Linked DNA regions of Schizosaccharomyces pombe. Changing the gene in region 3 together with the main gene of any one other region gives a genetic interaction. Each region holds a gene or a part of one and is shown on either strand. Other genes may lie near its edges.

The links.
Region 1: mutations in ste20 (region 3) and SPOM_SPBC146.02 together harm fitness more than expected from each alone (negative genetic interaction), as found in Schizosaccharomyces pombe (one large-scale study listed by BioGRID).
Region 2: mutations in ste20 (region 3) and pmr1 together harm fitness more than expected from each alone (negative genetic interaction), as found in Schizosaccharomyces pombe (one large-scale study listed by BioGRID).
Region 4: mutations in ste20 (region 3) and SPOM_SPBC577.11 together harm fitness more than expected from each alone (negative genetic interaction), as found in Schizosaccharomyces pombe (one large-scale study listed by BioGRID).

What each region holds. Positions count from the first base shown.
Region 1 is NC_003423.3:999,226-1,002,767, forward strand, and holds SPOM_SPBC146.02 (uncharacterized protein), read left to right. Parts: upstream 1-1,625; 5' UTR 1,626-1,785; coding exon 1,786-2,577; 3' UTR 2,578-2,937; downstream 2,938-3,542. Other genes in the region: mediator complex subunit Med15, read left to right, coding at 1-855; cut3 (condensin complex SMC subunit Smc4), read right to left, coding at 3,264-3,542.
Region 2 is NC_003423.3:239,147-245,547, forward strand, and holds pmr1 (P-type calcium transport ATPase Pmr1), read right to left. Parts: upstream 4,497-6,401; 5' UTR 3,924-4,496; coding exon 1,224-3,923; 3' UTR 692-1,223; downstream 1-691. Other genes in the region: autophagy-associated protein Atg2, read right to left, coding at 1-367; ubiquitin-like protein modifier Hub1, read right to left, coding at 5,465-5,567, 5,617-5,718, 5,789-5,805. UniProt on the Schizosaccharomyces pombe protein: Transports calcium and manganese ions into the cell. Regulates cell morphogenesis through control of manganese and calcium homeostasis.
Region 3 is NC_003423.3:2,473,811-2,481,085, reverse strand, and holds ste20 (target of rapamycin complex 2 subunit ste20), read right to left. Parts: upstream 5,208-7,275; 5' UTR 4,948-5,207; coding exon 1,018-4,947; 3' UTR 624-1,017; downstream 1-623. Other genes in the region: SPOM_SPBC12C2.01C (uncharacterized protein), read right to left, coding at 1-155; SPOM_SPBC12C2.03C (methionine synthase reductase), read right to left, coding at 5,741-7,275. UniProt on the Schizosaccharomyces pombe protein: Component of TORC2, which regulates multiple cellular processes to control cell growth in response to environmental signals. TORC2 is required for cell survival under various stress conditions.
Region 4 is NC_003423.3:769,601-773,930, reverse strand, and holds SPOM_SPBC577.11 (uncharacterized protein), read right to left. Parts: upstream 2,638-4,330; 5' UTR 2,614-2,637; coding exon 2,356-2,613; exon of another isoform or gene 2,323-2,355; intron 2,176-2,322; coding exon 2,076-2,175; intron 1,946-2,075; coding exon 1,584-1,945; 3' UTR 589-1,583; downstream 1-588. Other genes in the region: dph6 (endoribonuclease), read right to left, coding at 1-451; pre4 (proteasome core particle subunit beta 7), read right to left, coding at 3,461-4,249.

The DNA.
Region 1 (3,542 bases), 1.5 Mb from region 3:
CCTGCAGCCAAAGCAAATTCTGTTGGTAACACATCTTTTCCTGTTGACAGTAAACTTGCATTCCAATCCTTGGATGTATCTCAGCCGGATTTGCAAGCCAAACAGAAGATTGCATCACAAGTCATGAAACATGGTTTAAAACCAGAAGATCTCAAGTTACCGCCTTCTAAGAAGAAAAAGATAGAAAACTTATCGACAGTTCAAAAACCTAAGGATTCAGTCGTAAATACTCCTGATGTTATAATGTCAAGTGTAGATGAAATACCTTCTAGTGTTTCTCCAGGTACTATAGCCAAAGAGGAAGGAATGGCTAAAGCTCGGGAAGAAGCAATTGCTAATCCTTTGAAGTACGCAATCGATGCATTTGTGGCTGTAGACCATGAAGAAGAAGTTTCTGCTATCAAATCATCACAGACTCCTAGTTCTATTTTGAAAACACCTCAGTCGTTTTTCATTCCTCCGTCAACTCCAGATTTATCATTTACAGATAACAAAAACTCACTTAGTCCATCTAATATTTTGTCATTGGACGGAAAATTTTCATTTAATGATGATTCGGAGCTTTGGGCTGATTTAGGTAATGAAATCAACTCTGAAATCGGATTTTTAAAGGAACCAGATACCATGAATCTTGCTTTGGATGCAGATAAAGATAAGACTAAAATGCAAAATAAGCTTACTCAAATTAATTTTGATGAATCATGTTTTCTAGATCCAGCGATCGACGATAAAGATCCATGGAATGAAATGCTTCATGAAAAGAAAGTTTTGCTAAAGCAGCTTCAAGTGGGTAACGAAGATGAAGACAACATCGCATTTCCAACATCTACAAACATATGGCAAGTTGTGATTTAAAATTTTGTGATACGATGGTTCGCAATTGTTTTTTATTTATTTATTGCACGTCGTCTCAAAAAGCAAATTGGACATATTTGTCCTTCTACAATATCTTATGAATACCATAGACATATATTGTTTCTCTGTTTATTCAACGTTTCTCCATTTTTTGAAAGCATCTGTTATGTTGAAAATTGTGATTGGGAAAAGGTTTGTATAGTCCTTGTGTTTATATACAATGATAAAAATAGAACCTGAATTTAATATTTTGAAGATCCGGTTGTACCTTTATTAGGCACAATGCCAGAAAGTATGGCTTTTTCCCGATTAATGACCTGTCTATGAGACTCATTGTGAACATGAAAATGTCGGTATAATGAGGACCGTTACAAATTTTATTTATTCATACGTTTAAGTTGATTTTAGTTAATTTATTATTAGTGCACCGGTTGGTGTTGAAAATTAATTTGTAATCTCTTAAATGAATATTTGTATAGTTTTTAATGTTTACTATCTCAAATATTCTAAAAGTAGCTATCAGTTTATGTTTTTGCTTTGGTTCAAGAGCTTTGGTTTAACCTAACCGCCAAATAGCTATCTCGAATTACCATCTAACATGAGAAAACAAATTAATATTTCAAAACTCCCGATAATTTATTGAGCTTAATAATTAATTAAAATTTACGTATTATTGAAGTCAATAAAAGCTTTCTTTGTCTTCCATGAACAAAGAAACCTTGTGATCTCAGTCTTGTATATAACACGCTAACTCGTGGCCTACTGTAAATAAAAGTTATCTTACTAACGATATATTATTTCTTGATTCATTGAAATAAGAATCGTAGGATTTAACAATAATTGAATACAGAGATCTCCTAGCTTCATTATTAAGTACAAAATAGTCAATTAATTTTTTTATCAAGCAGATTAATTGCTTTTAAACTTACAATGAATGGTATAAGGAAAAAACCAGCAACCTTGCAACTCCATAATATAAAAACCAGCTGTTTCATTGATGGCAGTGATGATCAAAGCGATAGAACAAGGTCAAGTTCTGGAGATAGCACCTCTAATTCACTGAAGCTATCACATCATATATCTGACGAACTGATCAATGCCATATATAAAGAGTTAAAGTCGCCAGTATCACCTTGGGACAAAAACATTTCGCAGCATTCGCCATGGCTGTTGGAAGCGGCATCGAACTCCATTGGTGATTCAAGTCCTTTACTTTCACCAATCTCTCCATTAAAGTTAAGATTTCATAAATATTCGGTTTCGAAACAGCTAAACAGCGTTGGAAAGCAGGGTTTTGGTCTTTCTTCAAACCATAGTCGTTATGCCTCACCATCCTCCCCTGCACGGCTTGCAAGAGGTGCACTTGGTGAGGAACTTAGCAATTCGCAATACAGATTAGAATGCGCCGCAATTCAGAAGCTTGTTGCTCAAAAACGAGCCAATAGAAGGAGTAGTAAAAGCACTTTAAAAAATTCTGCAAATGATATAGAGTTTTTCGATATTGAAGAAGTTTCCTCTCGCAAGGGACTAATAGACAGAACACCTTCTAAAAGAAATGTTACTTCCCGAGTTTCTGATGCGTATTCTCGTCTTAAATCTGCTGTGAAAGGCGAATCAAGCTTGTCCTTTAAAAGAAACCGATCGAAATCGAAGAGGAAAATTCAGCACCTGGGTTTGACTGAGTTTAATGGGTGGGAACACCATCAGTGCGACTGGCTATAAAATAAGTGTTACTCAGATGCTCCATGTTAGGCTACATGGTGCTAGCCATGTGGTAATTAACATTCATTTATTTCCTTCATTACTTTCTTCCTTAGTCCTCCTATCTCTTATTAGCTGGAAAGCTTTTATCATTTGCATTTTTCTTGTTAATTGGTCTTTCATTTATCTCGTCGTGTGCATTGAGATTTCCTATTTAAGTTTACGACTCATATTGTTTAATCTAATTTATTGTTTGTTTCTAATTATTCTTAATTTACTACCATAAAATTAAATTACTTAAAATTGGATACGTTCTATATGGTATGCATACGATTGCAATAAATCTTTAAAAGCATTACCCACTAAAATATTATACTATGTAACTACAAATTGTAGATACCTTCTGAAATTGATGATGTAAACAACATATTTAATTATATACAATTCCTTTGCGCAGATTTTACAGGCTTTAAAAGCGAGTGAAGATTAATTTTATATATTTGTAGTCCTATTACGTTCATAAACAGATTTCTGAAACATTAACATAAACTGGGTGCCACAAAACTAAATTAGTTTAATCTTCTCATAACATAGATTTATTAGTATGCACACTGTGAATTATGAAACACTGACATTCAGTAGCCAAAAATTCGTAAATTATTAAATATCTAGTTTCCAATTTTCTACGTTTTTATTTGAATGTGCAGTTAATCTGTAAGTATTTCCTTGTTGTTGATTGTGACACTCTTAGTCATATTCGCCGTTTTATAAATGCCAACCAAACGAGAAGATAACTCAAACATATTACTTCTTAAAGAAATAACAATAAACTGCGCGTTTTTAGTTCTTTCCTTAATGTAATTCGCAACAATCGAAACGTTTTTAAAGTCTAATGCAGCATCGATTTCGTCCATAACGTATAAAGGAGTCGGTTTGTAATTATGTAGAGCAAAGACAAGGGCTAGAGAACTTAACGTCTTCTCTCC
Region 2 (6,401 bases), 2.2 Mb from region 3:
AGGATTCATCAGGAGGTACTAGTTCAATTTCCAAACTTAAGCCATTGACTTCTAATTCAACGTTTAAATTTACAATATCAGTAACATTCAGTCTTAAAATTAATCTCCTCAACGTTCCTTTAGTAAAATTAATCATTGGAAGAGACACCACTGCATTCAGAAAGGAACAATTTAGCTGTAAATTGGACAACATTAGGACCCCTTTTGAAAAAAGGATGTCTATATCCTCAGGCTGCACATTTTCTAAAAGAATGGATCCAATAAGCTTTCTCAAGGCAAATGCTAATAGTCGACGTTGAACAGTCCTTGATAACGCCGCCGTCCAGAGCCAAGAGGAAGAATTTTTAAGCCATGAGGGTAACCTCATCATCCTCCTTTGCTTAATTGAATTTCGGGTTCAAATTTGTGTCTATCTCACACTTATTTGCCTCATTCAGATTTTGGTAGTGGGACGACAAATATGCGACGATAGCGTTGATGTACACGAAATAAAAACAATAATGCCAACATCTTGTGACAATCTAATGAATGGAAAATTTACTCATTGAAGACCAAACGTTAATGACAAGAAAAATTACTTAAGGCGAGTCGGTCACATGAATCAACTGTTCAATAAACATGTATAAACTGACTTTGAAACAGCACAAGATATAATGATACAAAAACAATTTAGAGCAACGCGGCTGTTTAATCTCGTATAATTTTTCTTTTGCATTAATTAAATGATGAAAAGCGACAACCGATTTTAAAACCTTTAATTTTGATAAGCCTTTATTATTTGTTTCTATATAGAAACTACAACTAATATGTTTTAGATTAACCTTTAGTCAGAATAAAATCATATAATTTGGTTTTAAGACTAACCAGTGAGGACTGCATCAAGGTGATGAATAATAAAGCCTGAACATACTAAGTGCTTGAAAATTAACCAAGATACAGGATTTTCGAAAAAAAAAACTGAAATGAAAAGTAACGATGAAAGCTTTTAAACGAATGGTATAGACTCGAGTACTTCATGGCAGAGAAGCAAACCCCTTTTGTGCCATAAGAATAAGAAACCAGCGGAAAGCTAATAATCATTAGTCAAAAAATTAATAAAATACAGGAATTTTTTAAATACATATAGCATTGGAATTTTGTATTCACAAAATAATAGTAAAGCTCCTTAAGTAATTTTAAACTTAGCACAAAGATATGCAACTTGTTACCGCAAAACGTATCATTTATACATTCCTTAGCAGATAATTGCTCTTTGTTCTAACAAGACCTTTACGGCGACGATACCATTTGCGAATTTCGTCAACCCAGAGAACAGAACTGGTACAAGCTAACAATATTAGAACATCTTTAAGTCCAATAGCTTCAGTTTGAAAAATACGCTGAAAGGGGGAAGCATAAACTACCAAGGCTTGACCAATTAATGAGCCTCCGACTGCGATATTGAACATTCTATTAGAGAAAATACCAAGCTTGAAAACCGATTTTGTTTCGGAACGACATGCTAAAGCATTAAACATATCGAAGAAAACAAAACAAGTAAAAGTCATAGTAGTATCTCTAGCTGTTACATTGCCGTCTTGCATTTGTACTCTAAATACCACAATAGTGACAGTAACTATTATAAATGCACTGAGTAAAACACGTTGTAAAAGCTGAACTGATATAATAGGAGCATTCCTTGGACGAGGAGGTTTCATCATCACGTCTTCATCAACTGACTCTACTCCGAGACTTTGTGCAGGGGGTCCATCCATTAGAATATTGATCCAAAGAATTTGCATGGCATTGAGGGGATTTTGGAAGCCGAAAACAGACGAAATGGCGATTAATGAAAGAGCAGCCACACTCGTAGACAATTGGAAAGTAATGAAATTTTTAATGTTATTGAATATTCCCTTACCTTCCTCAACAGCACTCAAAATAGTCGCAAAAGAATCATCGGTAAGAATCATATCAGCCGCTTCTTTGGCAACATCCGTACCTTGTCGACCCATTGCTATACCAATGTCTGCAAGTTTGAGGGCAGGTGCATCGTTTACGCCATCACCAGTCATAGCCACAACATCACCAAGGCTTTGAAGGGCTTCAACAATTTTCATTTTATGTTGAGGTGTAGTTCTTGCAAAGACTACTACACGGGAAACGGCATCACGTAAAGAGGAAGAATCAAGATCATCTAACTGAGCTCCAGTCAGCGCATAGTTACGAATTGCTTCTTCGTCATTACTAGGAATAGCCATACCCAAACTTCTAGCGATGCTTATTGCAGTAACAACGCTATCACCTGTAATCATAATAACTCGAACCCCTCCAGTCATTAGATATTGTACACTTTCGCGGACTTGGGGTCGAGGGGGATCGTTGATGCCAAAAAGACCATGAAATACAAGTTTATTGGTATTTATACCACTGGCAACAGCTATAATTCTGAGTCCCGAAGCAGCCATTTCAAACTCGTTACGTTGAATGTTCTCCTTCATTTCCGCAGTAAGCTCGTGTTGAACACCATCCTGATCGCTAAAATATGCACAACTTGACAGCACTTGTTCAGTGGCTCCCTTCATGAAATTCATTTTGCTAGAGTTGTATTGGACAGCAACAGACATGTATTTGCGCTCACTGCTAAATGAAACCTCAGATATACGACTGTACGTTTCACGAGGATCCTTCAACCCGAATCGCTCAGAACATTCGATTAAAGCGACATCAACTGGAAATCCAGCCCAGGGACAAGTAGTGTCCAAAATAGAATCAGCTTTGTTATGAACTTTACTATTGTTGCATAAAGCAGCAGCTAGAAGTGCCTTTTCGATACCAACAGTGCGCCTAACACTTAGCTCTATATGTTCACTTTCTGGTAAGGAGAAAGCTGCTAACATTCCACATGTATAAATTTTAGTAACTGTCATATGGTTCATTGTTAGAGTACCAGTCTTGTCCGAACAAATAACGTTAACACTTCCCAAAGTTTCAACACTGGGTAACCGACGGATAATAGCCCTCTTCTTAGACATGCGTAACACGCCTAAAGCAAGGGTGACTGTTACGATAATTGGAAGACCTTCAGGAATAGCGGCGACAGCCAAACTAACTCCAATTGTAAGCATTTCTAACCAATTTTTACCTTGGAAAAAACCAACAAGCACAATGACGGCAATACCAATTAAAGAGATTAAAGAGAGTTGCTTGCCTAAGTCATCCATACTGTTCTGCAATGGCGTCTTTGGTTTTTCAGTTTGCTGCATAGTAAGGAAAACACGACCGAATTCCGTATCAGATCCAGTAGCGACAACTATTCCTCTCCCATGACCATGACGAACGAGGGTACCCATAAAAGCTATGTTATTTCTTTCAGTAAGAGATATGTTTGAAGATATAGCTTCGCTACTCTTCTTTCGTGGCGAGTTTTCCCCTGTTAGATTTGATTCATCAATTTCCAACTCGGTAGCTTCAACGATTCGCAGATCAGCAGGAACACGATCACCAATTTGTAAGATAACTAAATCTCCAGGAACCAATTTACTAGCAACAATATGCTCCGTTTTTCCGGACCGGATAACATTGCAATAATGAGGTACAAGGTTATTCAGCGCCTTTAAAGATTGCTCAGATCGATACTCTTGAACAAATCCAACAGTCACGACAATAACTATAGCTAAAGCGATGCTAATAGCATCATCTATATTACCCAATGTCACCGAAATTGCAGAACTTGCAAAAAGCAAAAGAATTAGGGGATCTTTAACAAATTGCTTAAGAAATTGAACCACCATGTTTTCTTCATCTTCTACCTTCAAATCATTATCTCCATGAACCTTGTTACGTCGCGTGATCTCCTGGAGACTAGAGAGGCCATTATACATGTCAGTTTCTAAATCCGCACAAGTTTGCTCAACACTGAATGCATCATATTGAACACTCATTATGGAACTGTTTCATACAAAAACAAAAACGAGAAAAAGTAGTAAAAGAAAGTTGGGGTAATGTAAAAATAAAAAATCTTGTAAACAAAAAAAAAAAAAAGACACTGCTATTCGATACTTTCTAAAACGCCAGTATAAAAGCAAGTATTTAAGATGTAAAGGATTCCTAAATGCTCAGCACAAAGAATATACTTTCCAATGTTGAAAATTAAGAGATAGATGAATTTACCAACAATTAATCTAGACAATGAACAATATCCACTTATCACTCATAAAATCCAAAGAAATGTTGAAAGGAACCCGTGAGAAATAAAAAAAGAATTTATAAACTGTCCAAGCTCACTGTTAGAACGTTTCAAAAGAAAGTCCTAGAAAATCGGACTTATGAACCTAGCACGTCTCTGGTTAAATACCAACAGACCCAGCATACAAAAACGCAAATCCTGGCTTAGAACTTTGAACAACACTTGTTTATATTCTCAAAGAATAAAGCAGTACTTTTGTTTCGACCTTTTAGACTGGTAAGCTTAGACCAACGAAGGTGATCGTCTGGATGACAAGTTGGGAAAGGTTAGCTTGAGTAAAGATGGAGGCTTAGCAGATACTTCTGAGTCAAGCTATTACAACTCCAAAATGTAAAAGAAGTATAATCAATTCAGAGAATAGTTTTAAAAAAATTGAATACTCCCGTAGATGATTTTTTGGTAACCAATACATATCTGAAATTTTTTCATGTTAATGAATTTTCTGATTTTTTGAAAAGCAGGTCAATTGAGTTTCATCATTACTAAAAATGTTTAAAACCTGTTTCAAAGAATTATTTTCTTAAAAAAAAAAAAAAATATTACATTCAGAAGAAAGCAGGGCTAAGAAATAAAACAGTGGCGTAACATTATAAAGCTTTATACTAATATAATTCGGAATCCCTCTTTTCCTTGATAATTTGTTTCATCTTCCTTGGTATGATGAATAAATACGAAGCATTGAAGACATAATTTCATAAACGGTCATGAACCTAGGAAATTGGTCCTACCCATGACAAGATATAAGCCTTGTAAATTTAATGGTAAATTTGAATTTGAAAAATCCATTCATATTAAGAATAAACATACTGGTTTCCATTTTTAAAGCGGTTACACTTGACTAGAAGCGTAAAAGGCTTGATGAACAACTATTGATATGGCAGCTAGAAAACAATATTATTATCATTGTCTAGCTGACTTATATCACAATTTGGGGAGGTAAGCAATTTGAAAGATAAAAAAGTATCCAAATTATTAGACTCAAAAAGATAGCATTTCAACGAAAAATCATTATTTATTTAGTAGTTTGAACAGGTAAATACAAAACCTTCGAAGGTGAATTGAAAAAAATTGAAAATAATAAACCAAATTTCCTTTGTAAAAAACTTAACAAATCTGCTCAACAATATAACTCTATCCATCAGATTTTCATTAAACAAGTTTAAAGTCAATTTGCTACTTTCGTTAACATAAAACTTCCAAGTATATTATTTTTTAAGAAAATAAAAGTTTCGCTTTTTAAGAATAATACATCTCCAAGCTCATTCCATCGTGTATTTCATAGTCGGCTAATGTGATGTTATCCTTAAAGACGCTGTGCCATTTTTTTAAGACGATCCTTCTATTTTTTTGTTAACATTTTTTTAACAAATGATGAATTTAATCCTTACCTTGGATCTGTACCGGTCTGAGCTGCAACAAGTTTTTTAAAATCTCCAACTGTGTCATCAGGCATACATTTTACGCGTACTTTTTTCCCTAGACGATCGTTACTAAAATTTAGTTAGAGCTTTATGTTTTCCAATTTCAATGCTCCCAGAAAGTAAAATAAGTCAAACATACCATAAAACTTCGATCATATTGAATGCAAAAGTAATGGAGAGTTTAGTTACCAGTTTGTCTTCATTAAATGTTATTTAACTTTAGTCTCGTTAATAATCGTTAACGTCAGGAAAGTGCGTTAGTTTTCCTGCCGGTGAATTTTATAAGAATGAATTCAGTAGTGCATGTTATTGTTTTATGTGTTTCATTGTATAGAATCCACTATAAATCCATTTAATCTATACTCGTTGAGTACCTTTGTGAAGTATCAATTGCATCAGCAACATAATTTGATGCGAGCGTATGAATGGCCCCTTATAAGTATTCTGAGTATTTGTGATTTTTTATTTGAAATTCAAATTATCAATATTTCAATTAATTCCTTTTAATCGAATGTGTCCTATATTAGATTTCAGCCATTTTAGATGTTTACTAAATAGCGACTAATAATAACCTATTGTAAGATTGCCTTCTTTCGCACTATACATAAATAAAGAACTTTAGAGTACTTACGAAAGGCGTTCGCTCCGGTTTGCTGGGTCTTACTAATTCCTATTAGGTATGAGCCTTGCTCATAAGATTTGCATTCTTCTTCCAACTACTAAAACACTTGACAATTGTCAAGGTTTCTACG
Region 3 (7,275 bases):
AATGCATTCACAGAATAAAACTTTTTTGGTGTGTTTGGTAAGGGAATAAAAAAATGAATATTTGCAAAGTTTTTGACATCGAAGGACCGTGATTTTCTTAAAGAATGAGAAGAAATCAAGCTTAGACGAAGTAACCTGTATGTCACATTGTACATAGCAAGAAAAAAAAAAAATCAATAATGTTCCATAGAAATAAACCCTTAAACGTACTTCCTTCTTTTGTCTATTAAACAAATCCGAAAACCTATCGAGTTATGTAGTCAAAAGAGTGTAAAAACCCAAATATATATATATATATTTTTTTTCAAATTATATTTATAAATTTATTTCCTTTTTTTTAAAGAATAATCTTCTTCCTTGCGAACAACCAAAACAAATTAAAACCAAATGCGATGTTGTATGAGATTTACTTGTGAGCAGAAATATGCCCAAACTCCACGATATGTTAAGCAAATACACTTTCGTTTAGTTATATAGGATTTGCTAATTTACTATAACATGAGGCTGCCGTTCGTTGCATACGTTGTATGTGGAAGTTGAGCATAACTTGCTAAGCATGGGTATTACATATAAGTACACCTTTGTGGTACGCAATTTTTATATTGATAATAACAGCGTACAAAGTAAAAATTAGCACGAAAAGATGAAAGGCAATATATTCTTGTTCATATTACTATCGTATGGAGGCCAGGGGCTAAGCAGGCCTACCTAAACTACACAAATTCAAAAAAATATCCGCAAGTATCAGACATGTCTTATAAATATTAGATTAATAATTTAAACATCCAAAAACAATTATAAACTCATTACTAACCCTAGCGCAATCACCTTTTATGTAAACACTAGTCTAACTTAGTAAATAAACTTATGAAAAGAAACAAAGAGGGAAGGTCAAAGAATAAGCAGAAAACTAAAGATCAAACTTATTGAATAACAGAAGAAAAACGATAATAAGAAATCATAAAAATCATTAATTTACAAAAATTTTAGAAAAGTGAAGGTTCGGAAATTTGGAGTTCATGCGGAAATTGACAAATTATTCGGCCTGGACGGGGATTCATTTAAGTCCTGTGAGGTTGAGGAAGACAATAAAACCGAGTAAGGAAATAATTCAAATACAAATTGTTGAATCTGAACACGGTAATGGAATTTTCCCAGAATGGTCATACAAGCTTTCACCAAACGTTTAGAGGAGAAAACTTTAGCATTTTTCGAACGAATCTTTGTTAGTTGCCGTGCTGACTCGTTTGTTAAAACATGGTTTGACAAATTGGAAACGAGCCTAATTACCTCTCTCTCTGAGTTAGTTAAAGAGCTAAGTAATGAAGAAAACTCAGGAGTTGGCACGCGCTCATTTACAAACTCAACATTTCTCCTTGGAGTTGATAATACTTGTCCAGCATGTCTCGGAATGCAAATTCCTTGTGAAGTGCCCATTAAAGACATAAGGCTATACCAATGCAGTGATTCGAGTATCTCAACGCCTTTAGAAGTCCTGGAAATCAAGCCTAATACAAAATAAGCAGTTCCTCGAACAGTAGGAATCAATGAATTTTCGGCATATTTGACAATCAACGGTATCGTATCATGGTTAATTAAAAACGTAATACCCTGATCGGTTTTTCCAATGTTTCCTATAGCCCAAAGAGCACTCTTTAACTGCCTGATGGCTTCATTTCCTAACGGTTTATCGTAAAATTCCACCAAGGTACCCATAAAAGATTCAAAATGCCCAGAAGACTCGAGAACCTCACAACCTTGTGGAGATTTGACTAATTCGCCATAAAAGTGTAGGGGAAGTATATTTTCATCTGGTTCATTGTTTTTCTTGTCAATAATTTTGAGATTTGAAACAAAAGAAAGGAAAAAATTTTGCTCCAATAAATCCACGTAATCTATATTTCGATGATGGTACCAATTATCGAGTTCATGTTCAATAAAATTAATTTCAGAAAGGTAATGAAATCCGACAGTTGTAGCAAGAAAACGTAAAAGTAAAGGTGAGCCAATTTCACCCAAATGGGCCAATGAAGGTTGAAGCTGAACAACTTGAGCCAGCAAGTTTTCATTTCGAGCACAAACTTCATTCAACACCTTCACTGCTGTTTTACATACTTCCAAGCAAGGATCGTACAGTTGAAATATCAATAGAGAAATTGCCCAGTGATTTAAGTTGTCATTGGCAGACTCAGAATTGATTAAAGCCGCAAGATGCTTGGTTGCAGTTAAGCGTACAGCCTGTTGCCCGGTATTAAGCGCCTTAGAAAATATAATTCGTGTGTGCCCCTCTAGCCGATAATCAAGATTAGTCAGAAAAATAATTATGAGATCGTCTCTGTTCCTCAATTCTGTCAAATGGTAAAGTGTAGTAAAAATCCTCCATCGTTCCATAATTGCATGACCTTCCTTTTGGCTTGACAATACTTTTAACATAGGAAAGTAACCGTGGGTGAGGGTTTTCTGAAGCCTACTGTTCGAGAAAATCGGCTCAGAAACCTGTTCTGAATATCCGTCTATCTGGCTAAGAGATTCTGCTATTTGTTTAATCACTTTGCTTTCAGAAAGATATTTAACGCCTTCCGGATTGGCTAGTAAAGTCCTGAAAACAAGACAACCAACCTTTATAAATTTTTGATTTGGTTTAGTGTTTTGTATGGAAGAAAATCTGTTGGAAAAGGGTTTATAAAATGCTAAAAGCCGTCTCATAAATTTTGTGGTTCGCAAAGTTTCATCAATACGTTTCGGACTTAGCAATGGACCCTCCATAATTTGGACAAGTGTATCCCATCGCCATTTTTGATAGTTTTTTGTAGCTAACACGTTGGTTTCAGCTAGCATACTACGAAAATGTGAATCATCAATCTGCATGCCCATTTTCAATTTAACATGCTCAACCTGTCTTTGCCCCCGAAAAGATCCATCAGTTTTTTGCTCCTTAAAAAGAAGAGAGGTTGTCTGCGAGAAAGGTTGTGTTGCAGAATGGAATTTAACTCTATTCAAACTTTCAATGGATTGAAGAACAGAAGTGGCAACAAACCTGTCTTCGGCAGTAAATTGAGAAGCCATATTAAATAAAGATGGCAAGGATTGTATTTTGGCTCCTAAATGAATCGGCAGTAGCTCATCAGACAGCCTCAATACCTCTCCTAGAAGATATGTAGCTTTACGTGAGGCTGATGGGTCATCGCTGGCCCTAATCATACATACAATAGATTCAACCAAACCGAGCTCCAAAAATATAAATAATAAGACGGCTGTAAAATGTTGGCGTAGCGACATGTACTTTTTGTTGGAACCATCCGGTATATTAACCATGTTTATGTTATCATCATTAGATACAGCCTGATTTTTAACGACTGTTAATCGTTTTCCGGCCAAAAAAGACTCTGACCAACTTGAATACTCAACTTGGAAAATTAAAAAGAAAAGATCAATTACATCGCTTCGTGGAGCAAAGGATGGAACCCGAAGTGTATCAACAATCGACCGAAGAGCCTGAAAATCATTGGTAGACAAAGCCAATAATCCAGACCATGAATTAAGCAAAACAGAGGCAACTTTGGCGGAAGATTTCATGGCTTTTGCAGCTTGTTCAGACTGTTCCTCAGAGGAATTAAATGTATCTCGCGAAGAAGAACTAGTAAAAGGTGAAAGTAAAATGCCAATATCGTAGGGTAAATTTACGTAACAAGCGCTTTCAGGATCATCCAAAAGATATACTAATGCAAGTGCAGCACTAGCTGCTAAATTCTCAGAAATACTTCCATCGATTAGGGAGATCATTAAAACCCTTAAACCATTAGCTTTAAATAAAATTTTTGGTCGAATAATCATTAACTCGATAAGAGTTTCAACAGCAATTCCACGACTAACATCTGATACATGCTCACAAATTGAAATGATAGTCCTCGTAATACCTGAAAGATAATCCTCATGTCCTTCAGTTGATGAAAGAAAATAAAGAGTTCGGATTAGTCGGAATGCTTGCTCTCGTTCAATTTGATATGCATCGGTACCAGAAAGTAGAGACTTTGACAAGATCCAAGGTAAATTCAACATTTGACAACAAGAGAATGCTGTTGCGTCAAGAAACAAATGCCTTAGTAGTCTATAAACAGAAGCCGTAACTTCAGAGACATTCAACTCGAGCATTGAAAGTATGGTCGGAGTAATCAAGGAGAAGTTTTTTGCATAAGCGGGATCAGAATGTTCATGTAAGTATTCACATAAATTATTTGAGGAATCGATTACATCCTTCATACTGCCTTCAAGACAAGCCTTATATATATTATCAAGCCAAGGATTTAATGGAAATTGTGAGAAATTCGATTGCAAACTAGAAGGACGTTTTCCGTTAGGTTGAGTATCTTCAGAAGAAGAATTATTTTTTTCGTTGACATTTTCAAAGTCAATTCTTTGAATGACGGTAGGAGTTAAATTGCTATGCGCATTTCTGGTAGGACCTATTAATTCACCAGTCCCACTGACTGTAACACTGCAACTATCGCTACATCCTGCTTTGTAAGAAAATCTCGTACTATACTTTTCCTGCAATGAGCTCTTTCGACTGACAGTCGCAGAAGCAGACCTCGTGAGACTGGTTGAGCCAGTTTTTGCTTCACCATTTTCTCCTTGGAAAGATTCAATGCTAGAAACTAATTCCTCTATCTTTTTTTTAGATGATTCGAGCTCATCGGTACATTTCTTTTTTAACATTTCTTTACGTTCTTTTGTTTCTTTTTTAAAATTGGTGTCGAAGACTTGCAGCAACGTTTCAGCGCCATCCCGTATTTTGCACTCAACTTCGAGCTTTCCCTTCAAATCCTCAAGTAACTTGAGCCTTTTTGAATCAGTGGTATTCATTTTTTTGATAAAGTCACCATTAGTTTTGGCATGGGAACTTATATCCAAAGCAGTATCGGTTTGTCCCCTTCGCACAGGTTTCATGAGCACTGATCATTAAAAGCAGGAATAAAAAAGCTATCTCCTTCCATAAGCGCCTTCATGAAATAGCCTTATAAAGGGATAGTATGTTTTCGTACTAATACTTATTGCGTGCAACACGCGATTGCTTACTGGGCTAGTCAAACTCTCAATTTTTAAGCAATCTAGTAAAATTAAAGATATTAACACTTAAATAATAACTTAAGATTGTGAAGAGTCCTAAAATGATAATGCTTGCGAACTATGCTCGTATGCTCATGGATACCCCAACGGCTGAACTTAATCGGAGTTCTGTTACCGGCGTTAACGATTGTACGACATGGAGTGATGTTTCGCTATTAATGGGCAAAACAAATTTCCTTAGAATTCGCTAATAAATAATTAGATACTAGGTACTGGTTCACTAAAGAATCGAATCCTTAATGTTTACTTTACAGTCTCAAGATTGCTAGTTAACAGTATACGAAAACATGAAGGATAAATCAAAGCAAGAGAATAAGATGAGTAAATTATATTACTACAATCAACTATTAAAATTTGTTTATATTTTTATTTATGGAAACAAAAGGCTAAACAAAAAATGTTTTAACAGATATGCCCAAGCCAATATAGAATTAAAATGCCATTTTGAGATACAAATATTGCTTTCGAAACATTTCAAAAAAGATTTTTTTAAAACGAAACGATAATAAAAAAGACAGAAAAGAATCGAAAATAATGTGAAAAGATAGTAAACAAAAAAAAAATTTTAACGAAAAAATAAATATTGGTAACGTGGATAAACAACTTCATTCATTTACCAAATCTCCTTTATGTATTTAAGGTTAAGTGGACTTTGCCAAAGAGCAAGTTGTTGGGTAGCTTCCAGCCTGCTCATTTTTCCGTATTGAACGCAAACATCAATCAAGGCATTTTCAACACCATCTAAAAATCCCTTTTTACCACCACAAAGATAAACCTTCCCATGAGGATGACTAAGAACACTCCATACAATGTCACCACGGTGTCGAATCTCGTCCTGTACATAGGCATGTTGGTGAGAACGTGATTCAACAACAAGATGGTTGGGGCCACTAGTACCGTCTTTTTTAACTTCGAAGGAATCCATTTCAGTTTCGGTTTGTTGGCTGACTGTAGAAGATGCATCATCGTCTGAAGACTTTTGAAGCGGGTTTTCCCACTCACCATGATAGAGCTCATCCAATTCTTGGTCGCGGCATCCATGGAAAACCCAAACTTTACCAGCACAAGTGGCATTTGTAAGACGTCGTTGCACAAAACCTCTAAAGGGAGCAACACCTACACCGGCACCGATTAGGCACATAGGGCCATCAGAAGCAAAATGTGTGGCAAATGCGTTTTTGTGCAGACCGCGGTACATTGGAAGGACGAGATCTCGTTCACCATTTAAAAATCTCAATGCCAATCTTTTCAAAAAACCAGAACCAATACCAGAACGAGTGCCTCCTTCAACTTTATTGATTTCAACAACTGTAACCGCAAATTCCAATACATTATTACTGACCTTGGGATCGTTTGACAAAGAATACCATCTAGGCATAAGCTGGGGAAGCACGGTTAAAAGGTGATCAAGAGGAAGTTGAACACTAGGGAAAGCCTTTAGCAGAGTGATAAGTGTAACGTTGTGGTCCCTTAAATCACAGAAAGCACGTTGTCCCAAACGACTGACCAAAAACAACAAAACTTGCCGCTCGGTATCATCCTTGGCGTATTCGGCAAGTAACCGAATAAGCTGCTTTTTTGGGGCGACAGACATAAACTCCACGGTCCATTTAAGAAGCTCACGCCTGGTTGTAACGAGTTCTCTAGGTGTGTCTTCTGCCCAGATGGTGGGCCAACGACCTCCATCGGTTTTTAAAAGGACAGGGGCATCTGCCTGGTCGGGATTGATATGAAGTAATTGTAAAAGCTCATCCACATCCTCTTCGTTGTTGGGAGCCATTACACCAAACGACCCTCCAACCATCCACTCTTCGCCTTCAGGAAGGGGATAGTTGGAAACGTCTAGTTCAAAATGGAACACACGTTTGACAGCACCTGGTTTAGTGAGCTCACGAACGTCTAGTATAGGGGCGGGAAAGACACTGAACGGAGGGTGTGGTTGAACATAGTGAGGAGGCATTCTAGAAGGAGTTGAATGAATTTGAAAGTTGGGGTCTTCTTTGGCACGAGCCTCATCGATATCAATCAAAGAGACATGATTCTCGGGAACTTTGGGAATTCTGTCAAGAGTAATATTTTCATGTAGAAGACCTAGATCCATGTTCAAAGCCTGGAAGGTAGGGTTTAATGAAAGTTTGGAGAAGGTTT
Region 4 (4,330 bases), 1.7 Mb from region 3:
TATCGTTGAGTAATTTTTCCTGATCTTTTTGCCAAAGAAAAGACAAGCTTTTCAAACCTAACCGTTTGCAAACATTTTCTACTCGAGTCCGTTGATATGTGGAAAGTATAGCGCCGGTAGAAACGGCTTCGAGATCTGGATGATTTGTCAATACACGCTTTATGAGTCTATATAAGTCTTCTGTTTCATCCTTTTCTGTAAATTGATAATCCAAGTTTTGATTGATACTTTGTCCACCGATTTTCTCTCGATATAACGGTAGATCGAAGCATTCAGCATACAATGGAATTACATCGTGTCCAACACTTTGGTACATGAAAGAGTCAATCTCATCTTTACCATCTTCAGGATGAAGATTTGCTAGGGCTACTACTTCATGGCCTAAAGAGACGCAATGCATCAAGTTGAAGCAGCTATCCTTTCCACCGCTGATTAGCCCTAAGACCTTCATTAATGGTTTTTCTTAACTCTAAAATACTTGTAAATTTCCCTATTTTTCAGTTCAAGCTTTCTTCGTGTTTGTATATGGCAACATTAATTGTTTACTTCAAAAACATATATAAATAACGACATTACTACAATACGGTATTTATCAATGATCAAGATATATTGACTAAATAAACTAAAAGAACTCGAAATCTAATAATACAAATTAAGACAAAAAATTTAAATGTTAAAACTTTATGCTTGAAACCAACACGTAAAGTATAGCTCCGATCTCCACAGTAACGTAGGATGAGGATAGAAAGGTTCATGATGAAAAGACGCTTGCGGCTGAACATAAACAAAGCAATCTTCCATTAATGAACAATGAAAGGAGAAAGAACTAAAAATTAGCAAAGATATACTTCAGGAATATAACACTATCGCTTTATTTCATCATTCACAGCACTAAAACCGCTCAGCAGTTTGTGCAAATTAAAGTGAAGGACGAAATAAAACAGATAAAAAAATTACTGCCAAGGAAAAAAAGAGGCAGAAAGAAGAGCAAAATTAAGGGTAACAACCAACAAAAACCGGCAACGATGCATAAAAAAAACCTAAATGCGTTTATGAAATTACCAGATTTCAAATAGCAATTGATAAAGCATGTACAAGCTAAAAAAAAAATAAACTACAATTTATGAAATATAAGACATCATAAACTGTCTATTTGAAGTATTAAATAATTGACAACTTGATCTTCTTTTAATAACAGGCAAGAATTCTACGGACAGAGTCCCGTAGTGTTAAGCTTTAATGAAACCAAACATTTAAAAGGGCTGAGAAACCTTTTAACCTTCTAGGAAAGATTCTGGTTCCATAAAACACATATTAAAGCAATAATCAAAATAAATAACAAGTTTAATCTCAAAAGCAGATAAGTTAAAGTACTGAAGGACTTACGAAAACAGAAGGTAAAAGGACACAGACATCAAGTGGCATTCTAATGCATGATTACTAATAATCCAAGGGCATAACTCGCTGAGTAAAAGATAGGCAGGTCACTGCGATGAACAAGGAATGGGAAACTCTAAAGTAAAAGATGAAGCTCTGCATGCGAAATGGTATTAAGAAACTTTTGAACAACAGCAAAACTTTTGCTATCCTTTACGAGGATACGTTCGATTTAACCATTCATTGTAAAGCTTCACCTGACGCACCAATGATTTTGTAAACGTTGTATCAGAAAACAATCCAGAAAACATACTTCCATAATCATTACGGACAGCGCAAATCCATAAAACACCCTCTTCCTTACCATCTCCGTCCAGTTTCTTAGAAACAAAGTCAACAGAGTCATAAAGAGCAACGACACCATTCCCTCCTCCACTGGAGGAACCTGGATATGTAACTGGAGTTTGAAGAACAATAAAAGAATCCGGGTCCAGCATCACAGAAACCACCAATTGTCTGTAAACTCGATTCCGAAAGAACCAAGGGGTTTTGTACTTGTACATCCAAACTGAAACAAATGTGAGTAATTAAATACAATAATAATGGTAAATATAAGCAAATAATGTATGCTTGAAATAAAAATTTTTTCATCCATGAAGGAAGATACATTACTCGCTTAAATGACATTTCAAACGTACTCTCAATTTCATCCTCGATAATAGTTTCCAATTGATGTGCTGAAAATACCAATGGATCATAATCAGCTTCCTTTTTGATATGTTCGTATAGCAATCCTTTCTAAGCTGTTGTTAGCATTTAGTGCGATGGATGAATAGGTTGAAAAATCGATTTCTCAAGTTATCAAAGGACTAATGTTATTCCTATTTTATGGTATTAGAGTCTCCAGTACGTTGTATATACAGAGGTAAATTTTGGAACCATTTTACAAACCACTATCCAACACTTGTAAGAACTTACCTTGAAAGTTTTCAGGGAACGTGTATGTTTAGACACCCTACCATACCATGTATGTCCAGTATAAGCAGGTGCCTTTTCGTATAGCGCAACTCCATCATGATTTCCAAGGTGTTTCCATTTAGGAATTTGTTCGACAATTTTCAAGGCGTCCTGAACGATCCTCTCTCTCCAACTCTCAAAATTAGGATCTGTCGCTTTCAAAACATCGTCCGAAGAGATTGGACATATTGAATCTGAACCAAAAAGATCTTGTTGCATTCAATGGTCTAGTTGGCTAATGGTGAGGTTAAATTTTTAGGGTAGTAGTAGTAGGTCCTAGTCGTACGTAGCTTCAATAAAATCGTCAATACAACAAAAGACTCCAACATTTCTCTTTTATATCATTTTTAAAACAAAATATAATATTTATGAGTAGTTTGTCAGCTGTTGGAAATTTTCACCTTTGCCACTGTGTGCGATCGTTTGGTTTAAAGAATGTACCATTTAAAATGGCCTAAGTATTACCCAGTTCATGATTATAACAAAGTATAGTAGTTAAATATTATAAAATGCTTGAATTCTCAATGAAATTATGTTTTCGCTATGAAAGAACCATGCTACATATTCAGTATATATAAAGGAAATACAAATAGCTTGTTTGTAAACTTTCTACCGTTACCTAATTATTGTTGGATTTCTTACAGACTATTAGGTCAAGCGATTAAACCATAAAGCAACTCATTGATGATCAATTTACTTCCATCATCTTTTTAAGGTAACTTACTCTAACTAGTAAAAGTCATGTTAGCTCCAATACGTAAGTTGAAACCAAAAGCAAATAAAATGCAATTCAGTAATCATATAGAGTAAGTTGCAGTGCATGTTAACCAATTCATTCATAAAGTATCTAGCGGATGCTTTGAGAGAACAATAAACTCGAGCTCGTTTATTTATACCGTTTACAATCAGGGAAAAAATTATATCTTTTTACCATTCGATTCACCAAAATGAATCAATTAGGAAGTATTTCGTGAGCTTAAAGAATGCTTAGTATCTCAAAACGCATTTTCATCTCTGTTGTATCGCATATCATTTTGTTATTCATGAATGCTTTACTATGTGCAAATTATACGGTTTGAGTCCCGTAACCATACTGCTTTTCAGCAAATGCCCATTTGGAGGAGACAGATTGATCAGTCTGGAATTCGATGCCCTCAGGTGTAATGGTAGCAACACTAAATTTGTTTAAACTTCTAGCATCCCTATAAAACAAAACACGCATACATTCATCGATAGTAGCACGAGCGCTTTCTTTAGAAAGCGTTTTCCAGCGATCATCGTCAGTGGCTTTACGCAACATAGGAAGAGCCAAATGCATGGCAAACCCAGTTGCGATTGCCGGGGCAGAATAAGTAGTTCCTCGAAGATCTGCAAAAGCAACATATGGTTCCTTATTTTCCCCATCCACCCCGGCTACAATGAGTTGATTCCAATATGGGTCAAGTTTGTTTCTGCGAGCGTACAACACCTTCGACAAGTATTCATGAATATACGAAGGTTGTAAGGCATAGCCGTCACCATAATTTCCTTCTTTTATTTCTAATTTTTCTAATAGGCGCTGGATTTGTTGATAATCCGAAATATCCCCACCGGCGCCAACAATCGTATTATCACCTACTTTTGTCAACCGTTCAACATCATAAAAGCGCGCTAATGATCCATAGGATGCCAGGTTATCAGCAGCAATCATTACACCGTCTGCAAACTTCAAAGCAAGGACTGATGATCCAGTTACTATCGGTTGAACAGTGCGTTGAATTGGTGCATCGGTTGATTCTTCAACTTCCGAGCCACTAGGAAAAAAAATGTCTTTTTGAGGCTTTCCCCAAACCTCTGTTAATTCTAAAAAACTCATTTTTTGCAAATTAAAACTGTGTGGTTCTTACTAAGTTTTCGAGGTTGATGTCGCTTTATAACACATAACCACCATGCACCT